3 linked regions of the Nothobranchius furzeri genome follow. The protein of the gene in region 2 interacts with the protein of the main gene of each other region in a pairwise test. Links are inferred from orthologs where the notes say so. Each region holds a gene or a part of one and is shown on either strand. Other genes may lie near its edges. The genes, in order: mad2l1, insrb and sh2b1.

The links.
Region 1: the proteins of insrb (region 2) and mad2l1 interact in binary tests that used the Homo sapiens proteins (3 or more experiments, as listed by UniProt). The link is inferred for Nothobranchius furzeri from reciprocal best matches to the Homo sapiens genes INSR and MAD2L1.
Region 3: the proteins of insrb (region 2) and sh2b1 interact in binary tests that used the Homo sapiens proteins (3 or more experiments, as listed by UniProt). The link is inferred for Nothobranchius furzeri from reciprocal best matches to the Homo sapiens genes INSR and SH2B1.

Annotation. Positions count from the first base shown.
Region 1 is NC_091743.1:87,151,209-87,161,455, forward strand, and holds mad2l1 (mitotic spindle assembly checkpoint protein MAD2A), read right to left. Parts: upstream 8,920-10,247; 5' UTR 8,783-8,919; coding exon 8,719-8,782; intron 7,453-8,718; coding exon 7,306-7,452; intron 5,438-7,305; coding exon 5,317-5,437; intron 4,519-5,316; coding exon 4,415-4,518; intron 4,296-4,414; coding exon 4,123-4,295; 3' UTR 3,834-4,122; downstream 1-3,833. UniProt on the Homo sapiens protein: Component of the spindle-assembly checkpoint that prevents the onset of anaphase until all chromosomes are properly aligned at the metaphase plate.
Region 2 is NC_091748.1:58,175,755-58,186,915, forward strand, and holds the end of insrb (insulin receptor b), read left to right. Parts: intron 1-897; coding exon 898-1,037; intron 1,038-1,111; coding exon 1,112-1,256; intron 1,257-1,339; coding exon 1,340-1,554; intron 1,555-1,740; coding exon 1,741-1,867; intron 1,868-1,984; coding exon 1,985-2,235; intron 2,236-2,337; coding exon 2,338-2,505; intron 2,506-2,585; coding exon 2,586-2,784; intron 2,785-3,797; coding exon 3,798-3,936; intron 3,937-4,120; coding exon 4,121-4,274; intron 4,275-4,462; coding exon 4,463-4,611; intron 4,612-6,382; coding exon 6,383-6,539; intron 6,540-7,179; coding exon 7,180-7,276; intron 7,277-7,369; coding exon 7,370-7,437; intron 7,438-8,360; coding exon 8,361-8,590; intron 8,591-9,633; coding exon 9,634-9,744; intron 9,745-9,867; coding exon 9,868-10,030; intron 10,031-10,121; coding exon 10,122-10,251; intron 10,252-10,344; coding exon 10,345-10,479; intron 10,480-10,577; coding exon 10,578-10,932; 3' UTR 10,933-11,156; downstream 11,157-11,161. UniProt on the Homo sapiens protein: Receptor tyrosine kinase which mediates the pleiotropic actions of insulin.
Region 3 is NC_091745.1:16,802,937-16,813,017, forward strand, and holds the end of sh2b1 (SH2B adapter protein 1), read right to left. Parts: intron 9,040-10,081; coding exon of another isoform or gene 8,949-9,039; intron 5,129-8,948; coding exon 4,758-5,128; 3' UTR 4,554-4,757; downstream 1-4,553. UniProt on the Homo sapiens protein: Adapter protein for several members of the tyrosine kinase receptor family.

The sequences.
Region 1 (10,247 bases), on a different chromosome or scaffold from region 2:
ACTGGAAGTGCCTGGCTGAGGACTGTGAGAAGGGACTGGTCAATGGTCTAGTGTGACCCAAAATCCATTATGGCTTCTGGCAAACGTTGGGGATCCTACTGGTCTAAAGTCTTTACGCAGGATTTCATGACTTTAGCAGGATGTTTTAGAATGACTATATGAGATGCTGGGTGTGCAGAAAGTGATCTTGAAAAGTACCCCAACTTTAAATAAGGTGAAAGCCTATTGGTTCATTCTCTAAATCAGTGGGACTGCAGCTAATGCTACCAGACATGCTAACATCTGATATGCTTTTATATGATGTCTATCACTGTCAGGTCTAGATGTTTTATACACTCGGTACCAGGTTCCTCTACTGCTGTAGAAACTGAAAACTTTACTTCAATGTTCTGTGTTAATCGTCCCCAAAAGGACAGAAAGATGACAAAAGTATCACAAGACAAAAGCAACGTTTATGGTTATCGGGGGCTGCATTTGAGGAGATTTGTTTCCTCTCATCACTTCACCAGCTAGCTTATTTTCATAGTTCAAAGTTGTGGATAGTTAGCCTGGTAAGCCATCCTATATATGTGAATTTATAGTCTAGTCACACCCCACAGAGAAAGCTCAGTCGTGGGGCGGGACCTACAGTAGTCTTGTTATTGGACAATGAGTCAGCGGAAGTCCACCGTACACTGTCGAAGAAGACACAAATACATCCTTTTTCTAAATGAGGGACATCTATCTGCTCCTGACTCAAAGAAAAGCCCACGTCTAAGTGGTCCAAGGTTGATGCCAATGTCATTTCAACACGCCGCTGACATTTTGTGTTTGATTAGGCTGGAGTGGAGCGTGGCTAGACAGACATGCAGAGCTAAATCGTTTAGCTTTGGTTTGTCTAGATTTGTAGGCCATTGGACAGTTACTTCAGTCTGGTGCTCAGCCTACCGATAAACATTTTAGTGGCAAACTTCAGCACGGACTTCTCTTACCCTCAGTCCAGACATTTCCTCATCTAACTGCTGCGTTGTGAAGGCTGACTTTGCAGCAAAAACCAAGTAGTTCTTTCTATTATTGTTGGCCTCGGGTACCAAACACAATAATAGCATTTACTAATAACGGACTTCTTAACCAGCAGTGGCCTACTGGTATGAGTGTCCACCGTGAGGTCATGGGTTCAAATCCCAGGCGGGTCATACCAAAGACTTTAAAAATGATCCCCAATGCCTCTGCTCGACACTCAGCATTAAGGGGTGGATTGGGGGGGTAGCACCACCAAATAGTTTTCAAGTGCGACCATGTCTGCCGCTCCCCCGAGGATGGGTCAGATGCAGAGAAAACATTTGACCTGTGTGTGTGATGACTAATGGGCCTTTAACCAAACTCCCATGTCCATTGACCATCTTCTAATGCTGTGGTTGGTTTATGGTCCATTGTTTTTATGTTGACATCATTGAACACACAAGGAAGAAAAAAGCACCCTGGTAGATTCTGATTTGCATGGTGATGTTTTTAGCATGTTGTCATCAGCTAGCTGTTAGCAAAGCCCCCAGTCCCATTGGTTTAGACGAGTGCATTTTTTGCTAAATACAAATGTAAACCCCATTTTGTTAGAAGCTAAAAGTGTCTTAGCTAACAAGGGGCACCAATGTGTTGCAGTCACAAAATGTACATTGATACTCAAGATCAGGGTCTAGTTTGAACCATTTCCCGTTGTAAGAGCACCAAGCTGTATTTAATACCATAGCTGTTGTCTTTTTGCACGAGTGTCTCTTTCTGAAGTTTCACCTCCTTGGCTGGTCCCGCTGACCTTTATGGATCAGAATCATGAGTGGGATCACTACGATGTACTTACTGTACACGTCACACTGTGTCACTCATATGAACGCTTTTAGACGTCTGTCCACGCACACTATATGGGTTTGAGTCTTTTATACATTCACTGTCTTAACTATTGTGTATTTATTCTTTTTATATATTTATTAGATTTTCTATATTGTGAGAGTATACTTTAGAAAAGAGCAGCACTTCTTACAGCAAACATAGTTTTAATACTACAAAACAAGTCTCCCTGTACCTTTTGCAGGATCTTTCTTAGGAACAGCTCATTCAGATGAACAGCATGTCATACCATTATACAATAGAACCAACTGGAGGAGCAGATCATGTCTCCACTGCTACGATTGATCATGTAAGGCTGAGGTAAAGGCTTCCATTCCCATGCTGCTCCACACTAAACATTTTTAGTAAAACAGGAAACCAGATGCGTTTTTTATCGGTAAAGTTAATTTGACTGAAAGTCATACGTTTTTTTTATTTTAGAGGAAAGAGTAAAATGTTTTCAAGATTTCAGTGAGATTTTGTTACATTTAGAGCTGTTTTTGAGAAGGTCTGATTAGTTCTCCAGCTTAGTACTCTAGCTGCACACCAACAGATGAAGGGACATTTAAACTAGGGATGCACCGATATCAATATCACTGTTATGGCCGATAAGATATTAGCCGATATACTGACATGCTTCTAAAATCAGATTTAGTATGAAAATGATTTAAGTTGAATTTACGTTATGTACACACACATTTACACTTCTGAGATGATTACAACCACTCAGGGGCGTGTCCAGGGAGTGGCCTGGGGTAGCACATGCCACCCCAGGTGCTAACACACTAATTTACCTCTAAATAGGCTTTTCATTGTCCACAAAAGGCTTGGGGGTAAAACAAAAAAAGCATAACCATTGGTGCCACCCATGCACAAAGTTGTGCCTCACCTGGGCCACCCCGTTTTAAAAGATCTGGACACGCCCCTGCAACCACTGTCACATGACCAAATACACATCACAAAAAAATGTTCAGTGAGGCCTTCACCAGTGATCGCTCCGATCGGTCTGGTCTTTAGTCATTCTGGATCCAGCCCTGTGCAGGAAGTCATCAAACATGGCTAACCCCATTTGCATGTGGATGTACAGGCAGATCTTTTTGGCTCCTCAAGGATCGCTGGAGTTTTTCTAGATCAGACGTTAGATCACTCTGCAGTTGCCCAGTTGTCTCTGTACTGTGGTTACTGGTGAAAACTGGGCAGGTTTTACAGTTTTCACCAGTAACCACAGCACAGACAATCGGGACTCCCCCCACCAAAACAACCTCCCTTACCTGCTTGTGTGAGCTTTAACACCAGAAGATATTTGATATGGACGAGGGAACTTGGTGATTTTATTGAATTTAGAACAGTTTGATACCCAGATGAGTCACAGGTAGACGGTGTAACAACGCAGCAGCTTCATCCATGATGAGGATGCAGGATTGACAGTGAGGCAACTACACAACATTGAATGTACTTTTGTTAAAACTAAGTCCTACCTTACCTAAAACACCCCACGTCGGCGCTGTTCGTTTTAGACTGTTGAGATGATCGTTCTCATCTCCAGAATTCTCGGTACGCACACGAGCAGCGGTCACTTCGTGGCGTTCTCGCAGCACAACTGAAGCACTTTGTACATGCGCTCCTTTGTATCTATGGCCACGTGCTACTCTGTAGCCTCCAGGGCTGTGCTTTTTCTAAAAATCTAGTTTTCTCACCGAGAGATCTTCAGGTTGATTTCATGCATGTTTAAAATAAACATTTCATATGTAAGAGCTGTTTTTAAAGATGGATTTCTGTAGACACTGAATGAAATAAGCTGATATGGTCCCATGGAGAAAGGGACGTTCTTCTTCTGTCCACACCACTGTGAGCCAAGTAGAGAGTGGCTGAATAAAGAATAAAACTTCTTTTCTGTGGTGTCTGTTGGCCTGCACGCACACAACACGCTACACCACACTGCCACCTTGTGGTCACAAAAGAAAGGCACGCCATTGACAGGAGGAAAGGCAAAAGGCCTTTATTTGTGACAGTTTAAAAGGTCGGACGTACAAATCACTAAAACAACGGTTGGTGACGTCAGCGACAACATTAAAGAAAACAACTTTGACAAATATTTACAGCAGAGAGGAGTGAGCAGCATCCTTTCACGTCCTCTCACAAACGAGACAAAGTAAAACTCAGAAAAGAAAACATGTCCACTGTGAGGACAGAGAGCCCCAGAAGCCACTGTTACCTACTATAAGGTGTGTGTGTGTGTGTGTGAGATGTACAGCTCATAGTTTAGGCGGAGTCGGTCCTTTTGTACGCCACCATGCTGTTGACCTTGTGAATGGAGGTGGTGAAGGAGCGCAAACGCACCTCCTCTGATTGGTCGATGATCTGTGGGCCAGACTCCTCCCACTTTTCTGGAACGACCAGGTCCTTATCCGTGTACACCAGGAGGTCAAAGGCACCTGCAGCCAAGAAGGCAAAGGTCAGAATTAAAATTGAGGATCTCGCCACCCCGATTCGGAAAGAGAACCAGCCTCGTCTTGTTTTGGCGTGCGTGTGTGTGTGTGTGTGTGTTACTCACACGGCGTCTCCAGCAGTGGGAGGAAAGTAACCGTAGCAGTTATCTGTCTGATGACGGAGCGGATCTCATCTTGGATGGTCTTAATGGATTTCTCTCTGGGAGCGCTGGGAACAAACACCAACTCAGGAATGAGTGCTGAAACGCCACTACCTCTGCATCAGTCCAGGTACATCCTCGCACGCTCACGTACGCCGTGAGTGACATCTGTACATAAGCCGGTGTCTGACGCTGCTACTGACTGATGCTGAACGACGGAGCGGGCTTAGCAACAACACAGCGTAGGGTTATAACTTATAAAGGGCTATAAGGGCAGAAGTCCGGACTCTGACCAAATTAGTCTCACTGTAAAATGCCAAATGACCTAAACCATCTCTGAATGAAGGTACCAGCAGGCTGGATTAAAGGTGCATTATGTAGAAATTAAGTAAAAATGACATGTTGTGGTAAAATCTGATTACTGCAACCACTTCAAACAACTCTGGAGCTTTTTGGTGGCCATCGTCAAATTACAAATGTTGGTGCTGCAGCATTAGCTCGCAGGAGACACGCCCCCCACTCAATGATGGTACACAGTAGTTACGTTCAGCCTTCCTTTGTTTAGAAAGGAGAAAAACGGACAATCCAGCAGCTGGATATGAGAATTTTTTCAGTAGAACCTTCCTTCCTAAATGACTGAAACATCAGACTCTTAGGACTTTCTCACTGTAAAATTATCACTACATTCTTACATACTGCACCTTTAAAGCATCAATTTAAGGTAACCGCCCCATCCGGAGCAGAACCAGACTCAGCTGACCCGTTTACACACAGACTGGAGCTGAACTCAAGCCCACATGTTGGACTGAACAAACCCTCTGAACGAGTCATCCAGTCAGCACTAGTAAAACCAGTAGAAAGCAGACCTGCTCTCCTTGGCAGACTTGTCACACTCGATGTCGAACTGCCATCTCTCCAGCACCTCGTTGGTTTCCAGGCACGTGATGACCAACACCAGCTTCTGCACGGTGCATTCATACAGCCACTCTGCAACACAAACGACCGATGTTTGTGGCTTCTGATAAAGCAGCCCCGCGCGGGGGCAGTTCATGGTTAAAACTCTCATTTTAACACCTGTCTCTAGTAGGGTTGTCACGATACTAAAATTTCAAACTCGATTCGATACGGGGGGGGGGGGGGATTCGATACTCGATTTCGATACTATTTAAAAACACCAATTTATTGAACAAGTTTATTCAAAAAGTAACATTCCTCAATTTATATTACAAAAATTAAATGTTAAGAATTAAGTGTGTAAAGAGCTTAAACCTTTCAAGTATCAGCATTTTTTTTAAACTTGCATACAAAAACTGGCGAAAGTTAACACTTTAAATCATGAATTGTCTCACTATATATACACTATATGCAGAGTGATGTTTTGCTGCTTAAACTCTGTTTAAGGTGCATTTTTGTCATAAGATGTAATGCCATATGTTTTGTTCTGTACTTTTGAACAACTCTGTTGGTCAATAAAGGGAGAAAACGAATTTCTCCACAGCAGGACAAAGGTACATCTACCGGTAATCTTAATAAAAACAGACTGGCGCACGGCAGTGACATCATTAAAAGCGCCGGTTAGATTAGCCGCAGCTAGTCTGTTTACACCTAGAAATCCCAGACTCGCTCCAAACGAACAGGGGAATCATGTTAACGATTCCTAAAAAAAAAAAAACTTTCGACATTGAGATGTTTTGGTGCAGATAATGTCTTATTTCGAGGCTGCACCATGGGTGCCTGTCCGCTCCCGTTATATGGATATACACTGATGGCGATTCGCTAATGGATCTAAATACCCCGGGGAATCCAAGCAGCACCAAAGTTGTCAGCGTGAGTAAACAAACGTACTGCATGCTAGAATTAAGTCCGGGTTGCAATAAACGGGAGTTTTCCTTTAAGCACATAAGCGTGAATACACAACTACGTGCCGGATTTGGTATGCTAATTAAGTTGGGCTGTGAAGCACCTCCCAAATTTGATGTTTATGTTTTTGTTTATTTATTTGGCAGACAAAACTTGGATCGGAGACAACTCGCGTGGGAAATTGCAATGTAGCCATGCGGCAGCTTCTTCTGTTTGTCTGGGAAGGGGAGGCTGCTTTACGGCATCTGGATGTCGTGCGTGTCGGTGTACTTGAAGAAGGCTGTGTATAATAGTCTATAATATCGATACCACTTTTAGTATCAATTTATATCTAGGTATCGATTTTTTTGACAACACCTGTCTAGCTTGGGGGACATAATACAAGAGGTGGGACATGTCATGATTATCTGGTCATTTTGTTTTTCTTGCCCAGGTGAAAACAACATGAGCTCATTTGAAGGCATGAATACGTCCACCACAGTAGGTGATGCTGGCGTGGGTCATACAGCAGAGTTATTACAGTTAGAAAGGCAAACATGGCTGAAATCACTGATTAGGGAAAGACAGTAGCAGATGGTAGTTTCTGAGGCCTTTTGGCCGCTGCAGGCACCCATACCTGTTATCTGGTTTTGGAGTGGGTCGGTTCTCAGCTCCACATAAACAGAAATAACGGACGGCGGTAAGCTTACCGAAACATTTGTAGCTAGCATGGCCGCGGGTTGGCACATGCAGATGTAAGGTGGCGTCTCTAAGCTCGTCTCAGAGCGAACGGTTTCTCCGTGGCCATTACAACATTACTGCTTCACAACTGGGTTTGGTACGCTACAGTAGAGACCCCAAGCTGCCTAGATTCAACAACAAGGTAAATGTGGGTGGAGCCTAAAGCTCAAAGAACAGAGGAGCATTCCCTCGAGTCAAACACACCTCTGACCTCTGTTTGGGCACTCTTTGAGGACGCATAAGCTCCAGTCGGAGTTGGTCGGTCAGCTAATTACCTTTGAGCTGAGACACCACGTTGGTCAGGTAGTTCTTCAGCTTGGAGTCAGTGGTGACCTGCAGACTCATGTCATAGTGTGTGACTCTGGAGAACGTCTCTGGAGGATAGATGCCCCGCTGATACAAGATGCTGTTGATGCCAAAGGCTGAGGAGAACAGAGGGCAGTTTCACGTCATGTTTTAGAACACAAGAACCCTTCATTACAGGAATAAGACGATCTAATGAGGGGGAAATGTTTCCTGTTAATCACATCTGCACATCTCTGATTCAAGCAGTCAAACTAAAGCTTGTCTACTCATCATCTGTGCTGCAAAGCGAGTCACCTATGACTCATGTCAGTGTAAAGAGTTTCTGCAGAACGAAGACCGACGTGTTTGTATACCATGGTGGTTGTGACTAGAAATATGGGCCATTCCCATCTGTACCGGGTCGGCCCGGGTAGCGTAGGTTGTTTACATATCTGGGTGGCCTGGTATGTTTCCGGGCCAACCAAGGCTCATTCTCAGCCCTCTTCTCGAGGGGGTCTGCTTCAGGCCGACCAGGGCCAACACACCCACTGCTGACAGCAAATTCACACCTTCCATTAGAGCAAGCCTCTGATTGGTGGGTAGAATCAGCCCACATGGGCTTAAGGCAAGGATGTGTGGAATCAACCGGGCCAGGCTGGGGCCGACTGGGGCTACCCGGCCTGGTACAGATGGGAATGGCCCAATAGAAAACTGATATAAGGGGGCCACTCCCCGTTTTACTTTAGGGATTTTTTAGTCATATTTTAAGTTTTCCTGCCTTCTTATTTTATGCTAAACTTTTAAAATCTTTGTGAACAAACAAAACATTTGTACGTTGTATTTGCTGCACCTGAGTGTGTGTGTGTGTGTGTGAGCAGAGATTGGTTTAGAATAGGAAGAGTCAAGTATGCAATATTTAAATATGAAGAGTAAAGAATCTTCAGTGTGAAGCAACTCCATCCTGGACCAAACATCGTCCATTAAACGGGTAAATGTAGCTTTCACAAAGATTGCTAGGAATATACACAAGTTGTAGAATAAGAGCACGATATATTTAACTGATGTCGCTCTTCTAATCGATTCGGCATACAAGCCACACAAGAACAGTGCAGTTTTACCTGTAAACGGAGCTCTTTTTCGTCTTTCAACGGGATTTCTGCACCAGCGGAGCGGACTGCCTCCAACACGTTCAACTGACGTTAAAGTTACACCAAATGCTAAATATCAGAAACGCTACCTGTAAGAGCACCGACCTGTTTAAAAACCTTCAGGCAACACGTTTGTATCCCTTTACCAGACTTTAGCTTGCAACGCTGGGTGAGCCACACCGAGGCCCGCTAGCATGCTAGCTGCGCGTCGTGTCAACGGCGTTCAAAAGGCGGAACAGAGACATGAACACTCACAGAAGAAGTCGGCCACTAGTTCTGTACTTCCTTTCAGAGTGATTCCCTTCAGCGTGCTGGTCATCTTTCCAACTGCTACTGGTTGGCTTTCCTCGAGGAAGCTTTGTGCTGATTCTATGTACGACTCAACTACCCGCCGTCTACTTTGAAAATGTGTCAGCTGGACACTACGCGCATGCGCGTTTTTGTGCCGATCACGCCCTAGTGCTGCGTTTACATCTGTATGCCCCTAGAGGGCAGTGTAGATAAGTGTAACCGTAGAGCCATCCGCTTTCTGCATCCGCTCATCCACACAGGGTCACGTCTGCAACCAAAGCCCAGATGGGAGGAGGACAATGGATGGATGGTTAATCCTTGTATCTAGTTTTTATTGTATGTAAGTTATTTTATTTTAACTTATAAAGTGTTTTTCCCATGAAGTCACCGGCTTATTGTCTGACCTCCGTCTTTTTATAAGAGAGTTTAAATGACTGCCTGAACACAACAGCTAAAGCGTGTGAGGACAAAAGCAGGTCCTGAGGTGGATTTTCCTGCACCGACTCTTTAAACAGCTGAACCTTGTGACAGGAGAATTATAACACTGTAAAGACTCAAACCAACAAGTGACTAAATAAAATAGTTGTAAATGGTTGTTATGAAGGCCGGATTAAATAATCTGCACCTCTCTCCCTAGTTTCTACGGCAGAGAAAGAGTTTAGCCAGAAGGGAGTAGACCTTGTGCTGACTTATGGCATAGAGTGTGAGGAAATAACGATCTTTCCACATAATCCAGTCCTCTCGGACCACTTTCTGATAACCTTTGAGTTGAGTTCTCGAGACATGAAAGTAAATTTCACTATAGTCGGTCTCTATCTGACAACGCAGTTGCGTCTTTTAAATCAACTGTTCCATCTTTACTGTCCTCAGCATCTCAGAGGCATGTAGCACAGGGCAATATTTTCATTTCTAGCCCCTCACAAATTGATACCTTAGTTCATCATGTTACTTCCTCTTTACGTGTGGCATTAGATGATGTTGCCCCTTTAAAAAAGAAGGTAATTAGGGACAGGAAGTTGGCTCCCTGGTTTAATTCTCATTTACGAGCTTTAAAACAAAACTCTAGGAAATTGGAGAGAACATGGCGCTCTACGCACCATGAGGAGGCCTACCTGTCCTGGAAAAATAGTCTTGTGCTTTATAAAAATAAGCTTAGACAAACTAGAACTGCTTATATTTCATAGCTAATTGAAGAGAATAAGAATAATCCTACATTTCTTTTCAGTACAGTTGCTAAACTTACACAGAATCATAGCTCTGAGCCATCTATTCCCTTAGCCCTCAGCAGCAATGACTTCATGGGATTTTTTACAAGTAAAATTAATTCTATTAGAAACAAAATCTTTAGCATCCTCCCTAATGCGATTTCTTCTTCCTCAGTAAGTGAGGCAGCATCAGAGGTAACAGTAGAACCTCATCTGTGTTTGAACCGTTTTGATCCAGTTGAGCTTTCAGATTTATCAAAAATATTAGCTTCATCTAAACCTTCAACT
Region 2 (11,161 bases):
ACTGAGGCGCCAGGAGTGTGAAAGACCATTTGGATCCAAGTGGCATCACTTGGACTAAATAACGAGGGTGTAGATGTTATAGGGGGGAAAGTGGGGGTGTTGTTCTGGTAAGGGTGTGAAGATGAGACCGAGGTTTTCACATGAACAGCAGTCTGCTCAGCTTAAAACTATTAAATGCTGATTTAAATCCTCTACTAATCAGGCTCTTGCCTGAATTGTCGCCTTTTTTTTAAAATTATTAGACAAATGTGACCATAACTTTTTCCTTTCTCCTGAGTGATAAATCCCTGTTGCATGTGCAGCTTTATGCAGAACAAAATAAAACGGATCATGTCCTTCAGGGGGTTTTAGGAGACAAAGTGCGTATTTGTGAATAAAGCATCCCACTGCTTGCCGTACAGCGTGTTCACTCATCAGACGACAAGATGTTCTTATCCTGACCATCCCTGTGTGAAGACCTGATGGCGCAGAGGGTGTGTTTGGGTATGTGATGCAGTGCATGTTTGCAAGGGGGAGGATGTTACGTACCAAAGAGGCTGTTGGGAACTGCAGCCATGTTGTTTTTGTGTAGTTTCTAAAGCACTGATGTGGAGAAGAGCAAGTTGAATCTGATGTTATTTGTTAGATGATTTTTCCAAACTACGTCAGAGAAGCTCTCTCCTTTTTGATTTTGGAGTCGTCGTTCATTCAGGTGCCGCTTTGCGTTTTTAGACGTAACGCGAGGAGAAAAGTGGAAATCTGCTTCGTAGATTGAGCCGTGGAGTTAAATTTCCCAAGCCTTCCTACCAGTTGGTTTTCCTTGTTCCATTTCTGATAACTGAACACAAGCCTGTTGATGTTTTTCTTCCTTGGTCTTAATGAATTTGTCATTAATCTGTTCTCCTTCTGTGTGTGCAGGCTGATGTGTAAGCCGTGCGCGGGCCCCTGTCCTAAAGAGTGTAAAGGAAATAAAACCATTGACTCTGTGACTTCGGCTCAGGCTTTACGAGGCTGCACCGTTATTGAAGGCAACGTGATCATTAAGATCCGAGGTGGAAGTAAGTAGCGTTGCACGTGTCTGTGACTTCTGGTCTTTCATCCTGACCTCCTGTCTTTACTTGAACTCTTGCAGATAACATAGCAGCTGAGTTGGAGGCCAGTCTGGGACAGATTGAGGAGATCAGAGGTTACCTGAGCATACGCAGAGCCTACGCCTTGGTCTCCCTCTCCTTCCTACGAAAACTACGCCTCATCAAGGGGGAACAACTCGAAGGAGAGTAAGTTCCTCCCCTTTTACCTTCAGCTACAGTTTTCTATCGTTCTTTATGTTTAACTTCTTTATCGCCTTGTTTCTCCTTAGTATTTATGCCTTCTACGCACTGGACAACCAGAACCTCCGTCAGCTGTGGGACTGGTCCAAACACAACCTGACAATAGAGCACGGTCGTACGTTCTTCCACTACAACTCCAAGCTTTGCATGTCTGAAATCACCAAGATGGAGGAGGTAACTGGAACCAAAGAGCGCAACCAGAAGAACGACATTGCTCTTCGCACCAACGGAGACCAGGCTTCCTGTAAGAACCTCTGGAGCCTCTACTAACACATCCACCTCATCACTCCCTTTACATTTGTATTATTTTTCTACTTCAGTAACGTACCAAGAAACAAAAACCCATGAAACCTTAAAATCTTTACCCACAAGCTTAAACTTCATCCAGATTCAACTTGCTGGATGTGTCTGACGAGTTGTTTTGTCTTAGGCGAATCAAAGAGTCTGAATTTCACCCACGTTAAGACGTCACACAACATGATTATGTTGAAGTGGAACTCATTCTGGCCCTCGGACTACAGGGACCTGCTGGGATTTATGGTTCTCTACAAGGAGGCGTAAGTTGGATTCCTACACGCAAATGGCCCTGGAGTATAAACATTACACTTAATGCCCCCATCTTTGAAATGATGATGCTGAATGAGCTGGTTTAAACTTGGCTGCTTCTACTTCAGTCCGTACAGGAATGTGACAGAGTTTGATGGACAGGACGCCTGTGGATCAAACAGCTGGGTGATCGCAGACGTAGATCCACCAGCCCGCTCCACAGATGGCAAGAAGGCCGATGATCCTGGGCACCTGATTCGTCCATTGAAACCCTGGACGCAGTACGCCATCATGGTCAAAACCCAGCTGTCTGCTTCTGATGAGCGACAGGTTTATGGAGCCAAAAGCAAAATCATTTATGTCCGCACTAATGCCTCCCGTGAGTTCAAATCTGAGATTTTCTGCTTTTGTTTGGTGTGGTTCAAACTGTCCTAATCTCTGAACTGAAGGCAGCAGGATTAACCGTTTCTTTTTCCTCCAGGACCTTCTGTACCTCTGGACCCCATCTCATCCTCCAACTCCTCCTCTCAAATCATCCTGAAGTGGAAACCGCCAAACAGCCCCAACGGCAACATCACCCACTACCGGGTCATCTGTCGTAAACAACCAGAGGACAGTGACCTCTTTAAGTTTGACTACTGCTTACAAGGTTTGTCTCCAGCTGGCTCGGCCGCTGCTTGTCTCCATCTTTTGTCAGGCTTTCGCCTCACCCATGCTCCTCCTGTCCAGGGATGAAGCTTCCATCTCGAATTCCAACCCACCTCGACCTCGAAGAAGAGCAGAAATGGAACCACACGGATGATCCCACCTCAGAGGGCAAATGTTGTGCCTGTCCCATGACAAAGAGCCAGATAGAAAAGCAACAACAGGAAATAGAATACCGCAAGACTTTTGAGAATTACCTCCATAACGAAGTCTTTGAGAGCAGGTAAGCAAGTCTAGACACCTCAGGGTGAAGATCGCGTTTTAGCCGTCTGTTTTATTTTTGGAGAAGCTGCAATTTCACCGTTCTGGTCAGGGTGCAGCATTTACAGCTCGGTAACAATGTAGCACACACAGCGCACCCTAAAGGGGGTTTACAACTGACCTTGTGTTGGTGGTGGGTGTCATCTCAGCCAAGGTTCTTTTGTGTGTGTGTGTGTGTGTGTGTGTGTGTGTGTGTGTGTGTGTGTGTGTGTGTTTGTGTGTGTGTGTGTGTGTGTGTGTGTGTGTGTGTGTGTGTGTGTTGTGTGTGTGTGTGTGTGTGTGTGTGTGTGTGTGTGTGTGTGTGTGTGTGTGTGTGTGTGTGTGTGTGTGTGTGTGTGTTCTCTGTAGACCCTTGTTTTTGTACTGAACATCTCTATGGGGGCTCAGAATGGGAGGTTTTGTGTATTTGAACTTTAATTCTACACACACACACACACACACACACACACACACTGTCATTTTTTTCCTATCTGCCTCTTTGGGGGAGTGATTACCGTGCCCATTATCATCCACGCCGGTCAGAGAAGCAGTCATGCAGACAGCCCTTTGGAGACACAAACACCGCCTCACACACTCCTCAGATTCATTTTGATCCTGTGATTTTGAACTGGTCTTTGGTCCAAACAACCATCGCTGTTCTTTTTTAGTCCACTAAGCAAAGAAATCATCAGCTTCAACCCAGTCCTCCACCTCTCGGCACGCCAAGGTGTTAGTTTTTGATGGAGCTTTGAGCTGATGGCATCCGTGGTTTTAGTGAAAACTGCTGCTGGTGGAAGAAGTTTTGCTCACTGGCGCCACACAGCGGAAAGAGTTGTTTGCTCCACCAACATTGAATAAATGTCATGACCTCATCACTTGTTGGTTTCCCTTTATAGCTGCTCCATTTTTCATCTGCAAAATAACATTCCTGTCCTCTGATCTCAGCCCCTTGGTCTTGGATCTTATTCATTTTGATAATTTCTGTTTTTCATCCAGGTCGCCCCGTGAACGGCGCTCAGTGGACAAACCGGACACAACACAGTTTCCCTTATTTTTTACAACGATATCTAGTCTGCAGCTTGGCTCCACCACCGCCTCATCTACAGAGGAAGACGAGAACGAAGAGGGATCCAAGGTCTACAACACTGAATGAAATCTGTTATAGATTAGTGTTTGCCTACAAGTTCAACTAAAACGGCTTTTAAGTTTTTTTAGAAAAAAAAAATTAAAACACCTTGCAAAAAATTATTTTTGTGTAAAAGAGAAATGCTTTTTATCTGTATATATTTTGAATCCCATCCCATAATTTTCCTGCTCAGGTGGAGCTGAATGTTACCTCTAAGGAGTCAGCAGTCATATCCAACTTGCACCATTTCACCAGCTACACCATCGAGATCATGGCCTGCAACCACCCTGAAGACCCCAAACGCTGCAGCCTGGCGACTTACGTCAGTGCCCGAACGATGCCAGAAGGTGAGATATCAAACTATTTTTGCTTCATCTAAACATACAGATTTACTTTTAGTTTGATTTTGATCAAATGACACCCGCTTGTGCATTGGTCACATAAAAAAACACAAAGTATACCATCATCACGGGTGCAAAATGCTAGGTAGAGATCAGTTTGCTCAAATGTTTCTGTCTTTGTGTGGCTCTGGCAGAAAAAGCAGACGATATCCCAGGTCCTGTGACTCACGATGTTGTGGTCGCTGAACCTCCCTACGTGTTGATTAAGTGGAACGCGCCTCGATCACCCAATGGACTCATCATCCTTTACGAGGTTTTCTACAAGAAGGTCGGAGACACAGAGGTACGTGTCAACAACACGGTAACATGGAGTGCTCCTGACGTCAGGCATAAACCTTTACCCAAACAACGCAGATTAAAACTACACTACACACACATCTAATTAAGGACTCCCCCACCTTCGATAATTTGGATAAAACACACAAAACACATACCGACTACAAAAAAGGATACAAAGCATGCTGAGGAGACAGCAGGCCAGAGACAGATGTCTCCGTTTGCTCCTCGCTGAGGGTGGGTCCAGGCGTGTTTTAGGCCGATTGTGAACTGGGTGCTTTAGGGCGGAGCGAGGTAGAGTGGGATGAGACAGCTGTTGTAGAATAGCGCCTCTCAGCACAAGGATGAAATCAGAAGGGAAAGAGGAGCATGCACCAAAAGAAAAACAAATGGCTGTGGCCGTAACTGAGAAACTTTGTCAAATCTCATTCTGAATGCCTTCCTGTGCTCATCTCGGACTCTACTCGATGAGATCTTGGACTGCCGGACATCTAAGGTTTTGAGTAAAGGTGACGCCTGGCTCAGCTCACACCATCGGATCAGTCCGGACGTTTCAAAACAGAAATGGGAGCTGGACCTGGGTGTTGGATTGTCAGAAAAGGCCTGGCACAAGACGTGAGACACAGTATTATTTAGCTCAAAGTGGTGCACCATTTGCTTTGGTCCAAAGACAGACTGCAATAATGAAGCCAGACTTAGACCCAACTTGTTCTGGACCTGCCTGACACGACAGGGATATTGGAGGCCCAATTTTGATGAACTCTCTAGGATTTGTGCGACCACTGTGCACCCTGACCCCTTGACTGCTCTGTTTGTGGTGGTCACAGTGGACGATACAGCAGATGGTAGCCAACAGCACATAATAGCTTTATGCTATTTGTGAGCCATCCTGTCCGAGTGGAAAGATGCTCGGCCTCAACCACTTTATTGGAGAAATTATGAATCATTTGGACCTGGAGAGGATCAGACATGGTCTGAAAGGGTCAGCTGACAATTTTGATGTTGTGTGGCAATTGTTTGTCTCCTATTTTTAAGAATGTACCATAAGACAATTGGTGATTGTTTCTATTACTATGTAAACTTGTTTTTGTGTACACACTAACGCTTTCTAGTGGGTGGGTGTGTCCGTGTTGAACTTTGACTGTGTGTGCAACAGCATGTGTGTTCAGTGTTGTTGTTTACTTGCAGCAAATGTGTAAATAATCTCACTGCTATTCATTGCTGCACCACCATCAGCAACTCTGTTGCTATAGTAACAGAAGCAGAAGGCTCTAATGCAGCAGTGATGGAGGTGCATCTCCACTGCACTACTCTGAAAGCATTGCAAACTTTAGCTCTTTCAAACAACCGATGCATTTTTCATTTAGGTTATTATTGGTATAATTATGATTATTAAAAAAAATATCACTGGATGGGCAAAAAAAATGTGTCCATTTACTATAAATTCTACCAACTTCTCCATCAACTATAAAACCAAGCTGTTTTTCTGACTAGTATAAAAGAAACCAAACAAGTGACTCGGGTGAACAGCAGAAGTCAGACTAGATAGTCACAAAAAAATTTTCTACCTCATAGGTCAAGAGAATTATTGAAATTCAGTGAAGCATTTCCTTCTCACCTATTGGTGTTTTTAAAGCTGCGTACATGTTCAGCATATTTTGCTAAATGACCATTTCCATATTCTCTTTGCTAAATCCATTTTTATGGTTTGGGTGAAGTAGCTGCTTTTCCTGTCGCCCTCACTGATGCTAAACTGTGTTTTTCATACGTTCTTCCAGGTTCACACAGTTTGTGTGTCACGGCCGGCTTACGTCAACATGAGCGGGACCAAGCTCCACCTTGTTCACCCTGGAAACTACAGCGTGAGGGTTCGGGCTACGTCGCTGGCAGGAAACGGCTCTTTTACAGAAACGACGTACTTCTTCATGCCTAATCGTAAGACTGGAGACTCCATCTCTAACTTAACTAAACTTTTGGTATTTGTTTGCATTTGTTAAAGGGGACATAACACTTTTTGCATCTTTTTGTGCTGCCATGTGGGTCTCTACTGTCTTTATAAAAAATCCTAACATGGGGAAAATGTTTAGTTTTAGGAATTATTTGCCTAAAACAATCCGTTTCAAAAGGTCCCTGTTTGTGATATCACAAATGGGGAAAGTAGAATAGAACAGTTTCTCATGTGCAAGAAAGAGCTGCTGCTGGAGGAGCAGCCAATAGCATCCTGAGTGGGTGACTGGTGGGCGTGGCCGGTCTGCAGCTTGTTTTCTTAAAGTGACAGAGCCCTGAAAAGGCTCATTCTGGAAGTTATGAAACTTATCAGAATTAAAACCGCTGATATGGCTCTATGTGAGAGGGATTTTTTTTACAAAGAGCTTCATAAACATATTTTACACTGACAATAGAACTATTAGAACCTAATAAAAAAGTCCCAATATGCCTCCTCTAATAACCCACAGGCTACAACCTGGTTCAAGTCTATTTCACAAGTTTATTATTACATTTTGTACCTAATTTATCTTTTTCCACTGTGAAACTCTGCCGTTCTCCAGCTGAACTGACTCTTTGTTTACTGCAGCTGATCCGGGTTTAGCTTGGATTGTGATCGGCCCGATCATCTTGCTCATTCTGCTGCTGTTCCTGGCTGCTGGTGTCATTTTGGTTATCAAGAAGAGGTGAGATGTGACATCATCATCAAGTGTGCTGTTGTGTCGTGAGATCATTTACAGCATCTCAGATTTATTTTTTTTCCTGTGGTTGTGTTGCAGGCAAAGTGATGGTCCATTAGGAGATCTCATCACATCTCCAAACCCTGAATACTTCAGCGCCAATGACAGTAAGAGTCTTGTAACACAACTAAAACACATCTGAATACGTTTTCCAGCAAAATTTTGCAGCTAATGTCTAAAATTGAAATATACGGCAACCTGTTTCTACAAACACCGACAGCAGTTGAAGGAGCGTAAAGAGAACCAAAATCAAAAGAAATGTTAAAGCTGCTGCCTGTGGCTCATTTGCGTTGCCAAGGTAACCACAGTCTTGTGATACCCTAAAGTTAAACCTCAAACTAATAGTTGCTGTGCATAAACTATTGACCATCTTCAAAACGGTCGTGATCAATGAGAGGCGGAAGAGTGTGATGGTCGTACATTTATTAATGTTTGTGTCTGAGTTTTATGTAAGAGATACAGTTTTTAATAAAAAATAAAACTTAAAAAAAAAAAGGAATTTCAGGTGAACTGGAGGGTGTACACCAGGGCTATTCAATTCCAGCACGTTGTAGTGGTTTCTCTAGTCCAACCCACTAGAGTCAGTGGTTGAATTACCTACGCAGCAGCTCATCAGGCTTTGCAGAAGCCTGTTAATCGCCTACTAATTAAAATCAGGTGTGTTGAAGCAGCGTTAAAACCTAAACATGCTGGATACCGGCCGCCCAGGCCCGGGATTGAATCCCCCTGCTGTACACACTTAACTCAGAATTTTTGGGCGAAAGAAGTCAGAAATGTTTCACATTTAATGTGTATTAAAAACACCCGTTGTGTGTGAAGTTTAAGTTTTCAAATATTGAGGAAAGCTATGTCACATGAAGTAGAAAAATTTGCACCATAATCAAAAATTTGTTTAAAAACCATAAAACGTTTCAGTTCTGTTGTTTCTGATAAAGATCCTTTTCTTTTGTAAGTTACAAAAAGTCCTTTTTTCTCTCTATTTGTCTTCTCTGTTCAAGACACCCATAAAAATCTTGGTTTTTTTGTGCAGTGTACGTCCCTGACGAGTGGGAGGTGCCCCGGGAGAAGATCACGCTGCTCCGAGAGCTGGGCCAGGGCTCCTTCGGCATGGTGTATGAGGGAAATGCTCAGGACATTGTCAAAGGAGAGCCCGAGACGCGCGTCGCTGTCAAAACGGTCAACGAATCAGCCAGCCTGCGAGAGAGGATCGAGTTCCTGAACGAAGCGTCCGTCATGAAGGCCTTCAGCTGCCACCACGTGGTACGAAAACCCTCTTAGAACGTCCAGCGGGCTGCTGACTCACAGCACCTCACTGCTCTTTTATCCTTTAGCTGCAACCAGTGCGTGTCTCAGAGAACCGTGACTCACGTGTTGTGTTGGAGCTGCCATACTGACACACAGTTTGACTCCAAAACAAATGTTCACACTCAGTAGGCGATTGCGGCGGCCATTACTATTTCATTACACAAGCTACTAGGCATCAATTGAGCCAGCATGTGTTGTGCTGTCAGCTGTGAAAACATGTTGCGATGAGAGAGAATTTTATTATTTACCACCTCAGGAGGAGATAATTCATATCGGAGCTGTTATTAATTCATGTAGGAGCTTGAAAAGCTTTTATACTTAACACACACAGAGATTTCAGAGTAGAGGCCGTCCGATATATTAAATTTTTTCTATATCGGCTAAAATTATTTTTAAAAGCCAATAAAAACGTTAAAAAAATTAAGCAGGCACCTTTGTGGCCAACTGCCGCCACTACTATGCTGAAGAAAGGACCCGAAGAACCCAACACACCATTTCTTTAATGTTTTGATTTTGTTTTCTATTTGACGTTCAATGAATATAAAGAGATTTATTGAATATTTAATTTATATTGCACACGGTGAGTGTCCAGTTGTCTTTCACAATCAATGTGCTGCTAAAACGTATTTATATCGGCTTTAGATATCAGCAACAATATTCTTTAAAAATCAGCATCAGCCTAAAAAAAAAACATGTTGGTCGGCCTCTATTTCAGAGTTTCAGAATCATGTTGTTGTTAGCCAATCAGAGGCGAGATGACAGAATATCAGGAAATGAGAATCTAAATCCTGCCGCCTTCTGCTCATCTCTCCTCTGGTTCACGTCTAGTTCCTGAAACAGGAGCGCCAGAGCTTTTCCCCCCACACAGATCGACTCACAAGGCATTTATTTATATTTGGTCTTTAAAGCAGGCCTTTAAATGATTTTAAAACTAAAGAAACATTGTCTTGAGCTGGGAGGGTTTGGTGTGTGTCATGCTGCGACTTTCTGTTTTACAGGTGCGTCTGCTGGGGGTCGTGTCCAAAGGTCAGCCCACTCTGGTCGTCATGGAGCTGATGACTCATGGTGACCTGAAGAGCTACCTTCGCAGTCTGAGACCGGACTCTGAGGTTCGTTCTGGTTATCATCTAGTCAGGGTTAAATCGGTCAAAGCAAAATAAACTGAAACAAGATTGAAGGTTGTGATGTGTTCGCCAAAGGGTAGAAGCTGATTTTCCGTGTGTGGTTTGCAGAACAACCCATCCGGCTGCCCACCGCCCACTCTAAAGGACATGCTGCAGATGGCAGCAGAAATAGCTGACGGCATGGCCTACCTCAACGCCAAGAAGTTTGTTCACAGGGACCTGGCAGCCAGAAACTGCATGGTGGCTGAAGACTTCACAGTAAAAATCGGAGGTACGGCAGTCGTTTTGTGTGTTGTGTTTTTGGTTTTGAGGCAGATTTGGGTTTCAGAGTCGGTCCTGATGCATTGATCTCCTGCTGTCAGACTTTGGCATGACTCGAGACATCTACGAGACCGATTACTACCGTAAAGGAGGGAAGGGTCTGCTTCCCGTTAGGTGGATGGCTCCGGAGTCTCTGAAGGACGGAGTCTTCACGGCTCACTCAGACTGCTGGTACGCCACGCCTCAGCGACTTGCTGTGTAAGCTCTGTTATCCCGTCAGCTCACCCTGTCACCACGTTGTTGTGTGTGTGTGTGTGTGTGTAGGTCTTTTGGAGTTGTGCTGTGGGAGATCAGCACGCTAGCAGAGCAGCCTTACCAGGGTTTGTCCAACGAGCAGGTCCTGAAGTTTGTGATGGACGGAGGGTTCCTGGACCGCCCGGACAACTGCCCAGAGAGAATGTAAACACGGAATTTGTTCATTCATCCATTCTTTAATGAGGAGTCCTCGCAGTGATCTGTTTGAGTCTTTTCTCATTGTCTCGGTCTTCTGTTGCTAGGCATTGCCTAATGCAGATGTGCTGGCAGTACAACCCTAAGATGCGTCCAACATTCCTGGATATCATCGAGATGCTGCGGGACGACCTGCACCCATCCTTCCAGGAGGTCTCCTTCTTCTACAGCGAGGACAACAAAGTCCCCGAGACAGAGGACTTTGACCTGGACCTGGACAACATGGAGAGCATCCCCCTGGACCCTTCTTCTTATTCCCAAAGAGAGGAGAGCTTAGGCAGGGACAGCGGGCCATCGGTGGCCCTCAGGGGGAACTACGAGGAACACGTTCCTTACACGCACATGAACGGTGGCAAGAAAAACGGAAGAATCCTATCATTGCCCAGATCCAGCCCATCCTAACATTTCCTTATTCCTAAAAAAAGACTCGATTCACCTTTGCCCCCCTCCAGTTGAATTTTCTGTTCTTTTCACAGTTTTCTTATTCGTAGAGGAAGAAAAGACGCAGATCTCAGGACTTTTCCGTTTCTTCCTCACCGCTGTCCAAGACGGGCAAGCAAGGGATGCAAACACGTTTATAAAACTTGCTCCACGACACATCAGACTCTATGAATCTGTGGTGACACACAGC
Region 3 (10,081 bases), on a different chromosome or scaffold from region 2:
CTGTTGTCGCTTGGCTTCCCGGGGCTGGAGGCTAGGAGGGAGATCTGGCTGTCTGGTTGGGGCCTGGGATGGTGGGTTGCTTTGCTCGGTGTTAGGCGGGGAGCCTGCTCATCAGCACCCCAGCAGAAAGGGTCGAACTCTAGGAACCGGTAATGGTTGTACCCCATGTGCAGCAGTACCGGGACCAGAGTGAATAGGATGTGTATGGGGAGCATGAGTGGGTGTCTGGCATGCATTTTTGCAAGTCGTTGGTTGTATGTGTATGTGTGAGCATGAGGGAGGGAGTGAGTGTGTCTGTGTATGACTGTATATGTCTGACTCTGACTCCTCCCCTCTCCTGGGACTTATTTTGATGTTATACATCTTCGTCTTCCCTCCCCCTGCCACACCTGGTTAGGAGTGTGGTGTCTTGGTCTGCCTGCGTCGTGTCTCCCGGGTCAGGGAGTTTAATTTGATCATTTCTCTATGAAAGAGGACTCCCCCCCCCCCCCCCACACACACACACACACACCTTTTTTCTCTTCCTTTCTCTTTCATCTCTGTCTCAGTGTCTGGTCGGAATTATAAAGCATTCAAAAACAATAACAAAGTTTTAAGTATCAGGCGTGACATTAAAAGCAGAAGCTTTGATGCTCCACCTGAGAGTAAATCTTTAAAGCTTGTCACCAGCATTCAGACATCAATTCTGTTCGCTTCACAGCCAGACAGGACACGGGGGAAAAAAAAGGTAAAATAAAATAAATTTTCCAAGAAATGTCTAAGTCTAAACGTCTGCGTTGCCCCCGAATCCCAAACACGAGGATTCCCTTGGTGAGGTAGCAAGAGCTGAGATGTTTCGAGATATCACCCCATGTACGGCTTTTCATCTGCTGCTATACCCCCCTGGGCCAACCAGGCTTTCACACTGATGCAGCACTCACTGGTGGGAGTGATGGGTCAGGCCCAGCCAGGAGCCTCTGTTCAGCCTTTTGAACAGGAGTAAAGCAATAAATCACCACATTAAACCAAGCTGAATGTTTCACTATATTTATATTATATCATTATCATTAAATTCAATGTAGTACCTGAAACTAACCACACAGGTAGGACAGAAAGTTCTGTCTGCCCTCAACACACGGTCCCAGCAAAGAGAGAAAAGACAGAGAAAGGCACAGAGAGTTTTTAAAATGAGAAAAGGACACAGAACATGAAGACCAGAGGTTAAAATGTGCATGGAGACAAATACATGACGAGCAAAGAAAAGTCCTTCAGAAACGAGCAGGTCAGCTACACGGAGATCTAAACCGAGACGGGCTGATGACCAGACACACACAGAGAAAGGCACAACTAGAAAAAAGTAGCTATCAACATTTTCTGCTAGATTATTTTTTACTCCTGATGAATGCAGGATGAGTTCGAGGAGGAGAACACATGAACAGTGAGGGAAAACTGTCACAGTGAAAATAAGAAAAAAAAAAACCTTTTAACCATTTTCCTTCTTTTCATCCCCAAAATAAAAAAGGCACAAAGACATTTCAACTGAGATGGAGTTGGAATAAGTGTTACATAGAGTAGGCATACAAAATAAAAAACAAGTGTCAAAAACACATTTAATACTAATATTCTGACCATCGTTATTACTATTATTTCCATTATTTTATCGTTTCTCTCTGAAAGAAAGCACAGCTCTGCTCTTGAGGGTTTGTGTGAGTCAGAAACAGAGGAGAGACATATATCAGTACTGAGAGATGCTGCTGAGTGAGTCTGAGGTAAAGGTTTCCTTCCTACTGCAGACCCAAAACGTTAACACACTGTCCAACGTCAACACGCCACATTTTATTTTTCCTCACAATGGTCAAACATTCGTGGGTGTGGTGTAAAAAATGTGTCATCTTAAATGAGCAAAAGTATAAAACTCAAATCTTTTCCAGTAAATTTAAATAGTCAAAGCCCTTAAAACATTTATCTCTTGACCTTTTTATTTAATTTTAAATATACCAAAGAACTTGATCAAAATAGGGAGTGATGATTTACTCATACTTAAAAGTGACTGCATGGTTTTAATTGGTAATATCATTTGTAATAATTAACTTCATTTATGAGTAAATCCTTGAAATGTTAAAAGTTTTATCAAATCAAATCAATAAAACCAACTCTATGAAGAGTTCACAGGTTTAATTGAGTCGTGTATAACAAATTGGATCACCAGCCTGAGAGACCAGGTTATCTCCAGATTAACTCACTTACACTCAGATCTCTGAGCTGGAGGGTAACTCGGAGTTAAACCAGATTTACTGGTTCTGGATCCGTGAATATTCATGTAAAAACAGATGAAGCTTGTTTAATCAAATGCCGTCTGAGAGAGCCAGAAAATTCAGATGTTTCTGAAAAAGACAAAGATGGAACAGTTTCAGATTTCTGAACAGTAACAAAGAAATTGGTGAGCATAAGTTCTGCTGATGCTCCTATTTTAAAGGTTCCATATCATGCTATTGTAAACCTATGAGAGCAAAGGTAGGCTCAGTGTATAATAAATATTACTGTTGGCTCTAGTGAGATGTCATTCATCTTAAATATGAGTTATAGCCTGAATTTATACCCAGAAATAAAACGCTTTATTTCAGTTAAACTCGTCCGCTCACAGGAATGGTCTTGTCGGCCGGTAGAAACTCGGGTCAGAACCAAACAGGGTGAAGCTGCTCACACATGGAATCAGCTTCCTCATGACCTCAAATGAGCCCCAACTCTAGTAACTTTTAAATCAAAACGGAAAACTTTCATGTATTCATCAGCCTATTTAATTACCCTCTGCACTGTAATCGCCCACCTTTTAACTTTTTCCTTTTTCTGATTCTTAAATCTGAAATTTGTTTCAATTGTGCCGTCACGCTGATTTTAACGTTACATTATTCTCGCTACTGGAAAGCACACTGAATTGCCCCTGTGTATGTATTCATACAAATAAAGCTGCCATGCCTTATTTCAGCTGGCAGCTCAGAGCCAAGTTTCCTATTTATTTCAGAGGGTTTTATTATTTGTATATTTGACGTTTTTTAAATGCATTTGTCCTTCTGGAGGATGGAAATCCATTTTCTCTCTCACTTTTTACATTTCTGTGTATTTTTCACATCTTTATTTGAATTATTAAACTGAAGTTTAGTTGTTTCTATGAACAGATAAAAGTATTCTGACTAAAGGAGACCACAAACCCATTTAGCAATTCAAATATCTAAAAGAGAAAAAAACTATTAAATATTGTAAACATTGTGAACTCTTATGGATTAAACTCCAGATCCAGTCCTCATTTCTTTAGAATTTCCTAACCAGCAGCCAGACCTTGGTAATCTAGATCAGTAGGTCTCCAGACTTTATGAGGGTCTAAAGTTCCTCTTTGGATTTGGGCTGCTGTTCTATTCTTTATAGTCCAAAGCCATAAGCTGGAAACTTAGCAATCAGCAGCATTGTTCTGAGGTGGAAACTAGTCTTAAACAAAAAAATTAACTCTCCACACACACAAAGGATTTGAAAATCCATCAATAATCTGAAACAAAAACTGAAACGAACTAAAAAACATCAGCCAAATTCTCCCAAAAATGAAACTGGAAGACCTTCAGAACAGCTGGATTAGTACCGATGAAGACAAAAGTCTAGGAAACGTAGAAATGAGGCATGGATTGGGAGTTTGAGCCTTGTTACTCATCCTCAGAGTAATGGGCTCGACACACGGGAGGCTACATCGCCTCTCCTCCATTCATTTTCAATGAGACATGCGCGACAAAGCGATAATCGCGGGTCTCCCTCCTACCAAGCGAAACGCGAAAAACACGCGTCAAATTTTGCGCTCGTGCACATGTCGTGCACAGGCAACCCAGCGACGCAATCCCAGAAAGTTGAAACATTTTCAACTTTTCATCGCTGTCGCTCGGACGAGGACCAATCAACCGAGGTTTCATTCACTGACCAATGAGCGGACAGGATGCTCCATACATCTCCGAGCAAACATGAAGGAGAAGTTGATTATTATTATGTTTTATAGTAAAATCAGAAGTAACTCGAGCAGCACCTTGTGAAACATATCTACCACTTTATTAACTCTGAACCGCTTAAATAACCTCAATTACCTCCAACCTGACACAGCCAATCAAAACAACGGAAGATTCGATTTCACCATGGAACAGAACGCGTAGACGGTTTTGCCGCTGGCCGCTGCCGTGGATCGCCTCCCGTGTGTCAGGTAATAAAAGCGACGGCAACAAATTTCGCTGATCGCGGTCGTTTGTCGCCTCCCGTGTGTCGAGCCCATGAGAAGTGGTGTTTGCGTGGTGACCTGAAGCGGTTTCTGAGGAGCATCACCACCGCGGCTCAGTGTAGGTGTAACGTTTTGGGTCTCTCTGCCACAGTAGAAACATCTGTAGAGTGTTTGGCCTCTGACTAACATGTGCTGTCTTGGCAGGACCACTGTGAGGTATCAGGTCTGCTGACTCCAGAGTCCTCATCTAGGATGAAGAGTTTTCTGAGAGGCGCACCGGCAAAACAAAGCTTATCTGGCTAAAAAAGTAAAGAAATGTACGGCTAGTTAGTGTTGTAAAGCTGCTCCCACCGGCCCTCTCTCAGTCTCGTATAGTGTTAGTACTTTTACACCTCCTCCTCTTCACTAGCAAAATAAAAATACTGGTTATGAATGGCTATGACATACGCCGCCTCTTCCAATCTCACTTTCTCACACACAAAACCACACAAACATCCTCTTCCTCCACCTCCTCCCGGCTGCCACTCCATCAGTAGAAGGAGTACTGGTTATCGATGGCTCGAGGGGCCCTTGCACCCTCCCTCTCTTCACCCTCTACAGCTTCCAACTGGCGAAGAGGAGTGTCCCTGTCTTCCCAGTCCTCTACTCCCCCTCCACTGCTGGCACCTCCTCCTCCTGGTGTTGCAGCTGCAGCTGCTGTGGCTGCCACCATCCCTGCAGACACTCCTCCTCCCCCTCCTACTGCTGCTGCTGCTCCTCCCCCTCCAGTTCCTGTTGCTGCTCCTCCTGTTGCTCCCAGCTCTGGCTCATTTCCTCTTTCCTGGGGTGGAGTTGGTGGAGGCGGGCGTCCTGGTGGTAGAGGAGGAGGCTGAGGTGGACTACGGGGTCTGCTGGTCAAGTCTACCAAGAGAAGCGGGAGAGGTCAGAAAATCAGTGTAAATGAAGGAAGGAGGCGGCGAGGAGAGGAGGAGTCAGAAGACAGGAGGGTAAGAGGTTGGAGAATGAAATGAAAGAGTCAGGTTTGGTGAAAGAGCCTTGTGATGATGGACTTCATGGAAACAACTGAACAAAAACAAACACCTGGGGCTCCATCTTCATCCCACAACGATCTCCAGCAGATAATGCGGTAGGAAGGAAACAAGCTGCATCTGGATGTAAACAGCTCAGTTGAGCTGATACCGGTAACTTCTGGAAGTGACGAGACCGCAGAAGCGGCCATCTGATTAGATCATCGCCACTAAGTAACATGCGTAACACCATCACACAGTACAGTACGCACCGAATGAGCTGTGCTGCAGCGTTGTTGTCCGTTTGTGGTCATTGTGAACATCCTCTTTAACTTTGCCTGCTTCACTCTCACCAGCGTTTGATTACTTTAAGTTGCTAAAGGGAACCTAGGCCACGCCCATCTACTTCCGCATCGTGGGTCCTCAGAAGGACGAAAAAATGAATGCAAGTCAATGGGGCTAAACACGCTGTTGTTTTTAATTCTGTTTGCTATGTGCTATGAATTTCACACATGATGTCCATGAATTTTAGACATTTTTATACCAAGAACACGCTCATTTTTGAACGGGGGTAACGTTATTTTAGGTTGTGTGTGAAAATAAGTCCAGGACTACAAATGCGCATCGCCAAAGTGACGTCATCGAACCAGACACGGAGAAAAACAGACGGAAAATGGCTGTAAGTTCAGCAAACTTCAAATCCTTCCTTCAGGAGGAAAGGACCACCAATAACCCGGCCGTGTGGTAAGTAGCCGCTGCGCTAGGGGAGAGGAGATTATGTGGTGACGTCATATTATGCCACGAACCTAGTCATGCTAATTACGAACTTTTACAAGCGATAAATCTCAAAGTAAGTGACTGGCGTGCTCGAAACACCCATCAGTAGTTTTCATTTGAATAGAAGTACAACACATGTATGCGCGATCCAGGGCGTAAGGCAAAGCGGATATCTCTTACTGCCCCGTTGACTTGCATTCATTTTTTCGTTCTTGCGGGGACCCATGAGCCAACCGGAAAGGGAGGAGACTTAGGCTCCCTATAAGCTAACCGGAAGACTGCCAACCCGCGCATGTTGCCACCTACGGTACAGGAGTGGAATGAACATTTGAGAGCTTGATTTTCTAACGTACACGTAAACTAGAATAAAGGATCCCAGCTTATTAGATCAATCTAGATCGACTTAAATGTTTGGTCCTAAATAATAAAGGTTTTAGAGCTGATAGGGCAGAACGCAGAACTAGACAAGAAACCTCCAGATTCAAAATCTGGAGTTTGACAAAACGGGACTTCTCCAAAGGTAAGCAGGGACCTGAATTTAGCACAAGGGTTCGGATCTGTCCTCATTGCTTCACATTTCACTTTAAAGACTTTTTCTTAAGACGCCTGCTGCTGATTTCCAGTTCAGTCTACCTGAAAAAAATATATCTGCATTTGGTACAATGTGGTCATAAAACATGGAAGCTTCCATAAATCAGAAAAGATAAGAGGAAAGGAAGCTCGAAGGTTACATGCAGCATTCTACCTCAGAGGTTTTGCTGAAAAAGGCAAACCTGTGAAAAAGCATTTTTGAATGGCGTCTGCTGATGCCCTTCCCTACTGAGCTACAACCAATTAGCACGAGTTAACCAAAAGGTCCACTTAGCAACTTTACCAGGCCATTCCGAGTACCTATCCCTCACCAGGTACTCACAAAGTTACCGAAAATGGCCTGAAAAATGGCTGTTCAGCTGGCTCGATCAAGTTGAGATGTGCATGTCGGGAAGTTTCTGTAAATTTACCCTGAAGTTCCGACAGTGGAAACACACCTTTTGTCTAACCCGGCCACGGTGACAATATCAGATATTCTCAAGTGTCAGACATGCAACAGTTTTCACAATCCAGCCATAAACTCGTTAGTCAAATTAATTTGAGAATTTTCAAAAATGAAATCTCACCGACACCAATATTAACCCATAAAAACCAGTCAGTGCATTTGTTACTTAAACAATTGTCTAATTTATTTTCCATTTTTATAATAAGGATGTTTTATTTTCCTAATTTTTGTCACTGGCTTAAAGTTAAATTTAGAACAGATTTATATTAGGATTAATATCCATCTCCTTAACGTCCTAAAGATGAATTTTTATTATGTTTTAAAGACCAAGTTCTCTCACTCAATTTTAAAGACCAAGTTCTCTCACTCAATTTTCTAAGCATATGCAGTGGTCTCAAGTATAAATAAATGTCTTGTGTCATTCTCTGTGGGGGGGAAAGCTCTGGCACTCCTGTTTCAGTAAATAGAAGTGAACCAGAGTGAAGGTGAGCTGGACACGGCAGGATTTGGAGTCTTACTTCCTGATATTCTGACACCTCGCCTCTGATTGGCTAACAGCAATGTGACTGTGTGTTATGACCACGGTCATAAGGAACATTATTTCTTCTGTTTTTGTACTTTTATTTTTTTTTTTAAGTGTTATTTTGAGTGTGCAGGTGCCCTCCTAGGATTGGTGGATGATGGCCAGGGGACGTTTGGATTGGAAGATCAGCTGGAGCAAAGCTGTTAAAAGGAGCCTGATGAGATGCAGCTGGGTTCTTCATTCTCCACTCATTCCAATCAGCCACCACTTGATGCTCTGTGTTTGTGTGATGCCCTTGTGTTTTTGTGACTATTACCTGCCATTTGAGGATTCTGTAGGGGTGAACCGCCTTTTTTCTTTGCATTCCTGTTTTCTCCTGTTTTGGATAGTCAGGAAGGTAAGTTTGGCTGTCAGTTATTTCCTTTAAGCTTGTAGGTCAGTTGTCACTCTGAAGTTAGAGGTGTTTTGTTTATTGTTTTAGGCATTGGTTCACCCTGAGTTATTAATCCTCCCTCGTCCTTAGTTCATCGCCTTGATCTTGTGAATAAATTATTGTACTCGGAATTCTGCTGTGGTGGTTTGGAACTGGTGGAAGATTGAGCCATTTTTATGTTACAACCTGGCCCTCCTAGACGGGTAACACTGACTCGCTGATGTCTTATCTCCACAAATAACACAAGCTTGAAGGAGTTCTGCTCTGTTGTGGAGTTGCTAATGCTAACAGTTAGCTTCTACTAGCCAAGACGTGCGCCGCCATCTTCTGAACACTAAATCAGCAGTCTTCCTCTAGCCAAGGTGGGCGAGTCCATGAATGGTAACTTACAATGAAGTTGAATTGACTGGCATTTATACTCCAAGCACTTCCGTCCATCTTCTCCTGGTGGGTAATGCAGGCACTAGCGATACAGGACTATTTTTATATTTAGCCTGCATGTGAAACCCAGAGTGACTGATTGTATTTCACAAATAACAAATAAACAATGGTTTTCCAGTGAACTTTGTCTTTAAAAGTTTTTTTTGAAGTTCCATATTTTCAACACAAGACAAAGTAGAAATGAAAAAATACATTTCTTTAGACCCTCTTTTGCTCACACTAATTAAAATCTGCCTTTAAAATTAAATAAATCCTTTAACAGCCATAAAACCCAAGAGTACCGTTTCCCACATACGGACTCTGCTCTGTTATAAACAGCTCCAGTGGGGCAGGAAAGTCTGACCTGATTGGTTCAGAGCTGAATCCTGCTCTGCTAAAAGCAAACTGATGTTTTGTTTAGTTGGTTCAGACATCACCAGTCTTGATTAAATGACAAATGTGTCCTCCTCAGTCACTCACTGCCACACACTCATCCTCTCTCAGCATAGTCCGGTCGCACTTACACACAGTCAGAGATGGGGGTTGATGGAGAGTCGGGATGGCGCGTGGTGATGACATCACAGACTGCAGGCCGACTGCCTGCCCTGTCGCGGCCTGCAAGGGATGAGCCAACGGATACAACAAGACAACAACAGAGAGGTCAGAGCACTGATGGGTTACACAGATGGGAAAGCTGCTGGGTTGAAACTAAACAGTCAGGAGTCGCATCAGAGAGCTTCTTTACTCATATCTGATCAAAGTCAGAAGCTTCAGAGGGAAATATCACTGGATTTACATCGTCTCATGTAGGAAATGTGGAAAAATTGATGAGGCAGATGAATATTAGCTGTATGGACAAAAATATGAGATGTGAATCCTGAGGACGTGAGTAGAAGGTGACTGGACTTCCTGTTTAGTTATCCAACAGATATCATCTCAGACAAACCCTTGCTCCTGTAAGAAGTTACCAGCATGTTGGAATCCTTTATTGGAATTATCTGAAAATAAAAATCTTCCCTGATTAGCTATAAAATAAACCAAACAGCATCACCTACTGGCTATCCTTGCACATGTCTTAATGAGAAAAGTAGAGTTCAGCCACATCAACAGAGCTGCAGCTGGTTTAGGAAACAACAAAGAAGTCCAGGCGTCTCCTGTTCCAGGACTCAGGACTGATGTGGTCCAGATTACTGAGACCAGCAGGATGAGATGTGGCTTCATGAGACTCAGAAGGGTTGGATCATGCAGAACTGATTGGAGCAACACATCCAGGTTTTCAGCCCCTGGGCAACAGCGCTGCTCCATCTTGGCTGAGAACACCCTTCCACTTGGATCGTAAACAAACTTCTGAGGCATTTGTTAAGAATTGCCCAAATTAAACCGCCTGTTTGGGAGACATGTGTTTATTGTGAGTGACCACATCAGTGAGCACCAGAACATTTTTATAAAATAAACTTAAGTTCAGTAGGTCACTCATCGCCACCTAATGGCTTTCCTCATGCTCGCCACATATTTGTTAAAGAACGGGTTTTATTGTTTATTTATTGAACCTTTGCTTTAATGAAGGAAACAAACTATTTCCGTTCCTCCTGTGCAAAACAGAACCGAGCCTTTTAGGCACAACATCAGTGAGTGCGTTTACATGCAGCCAGTAACC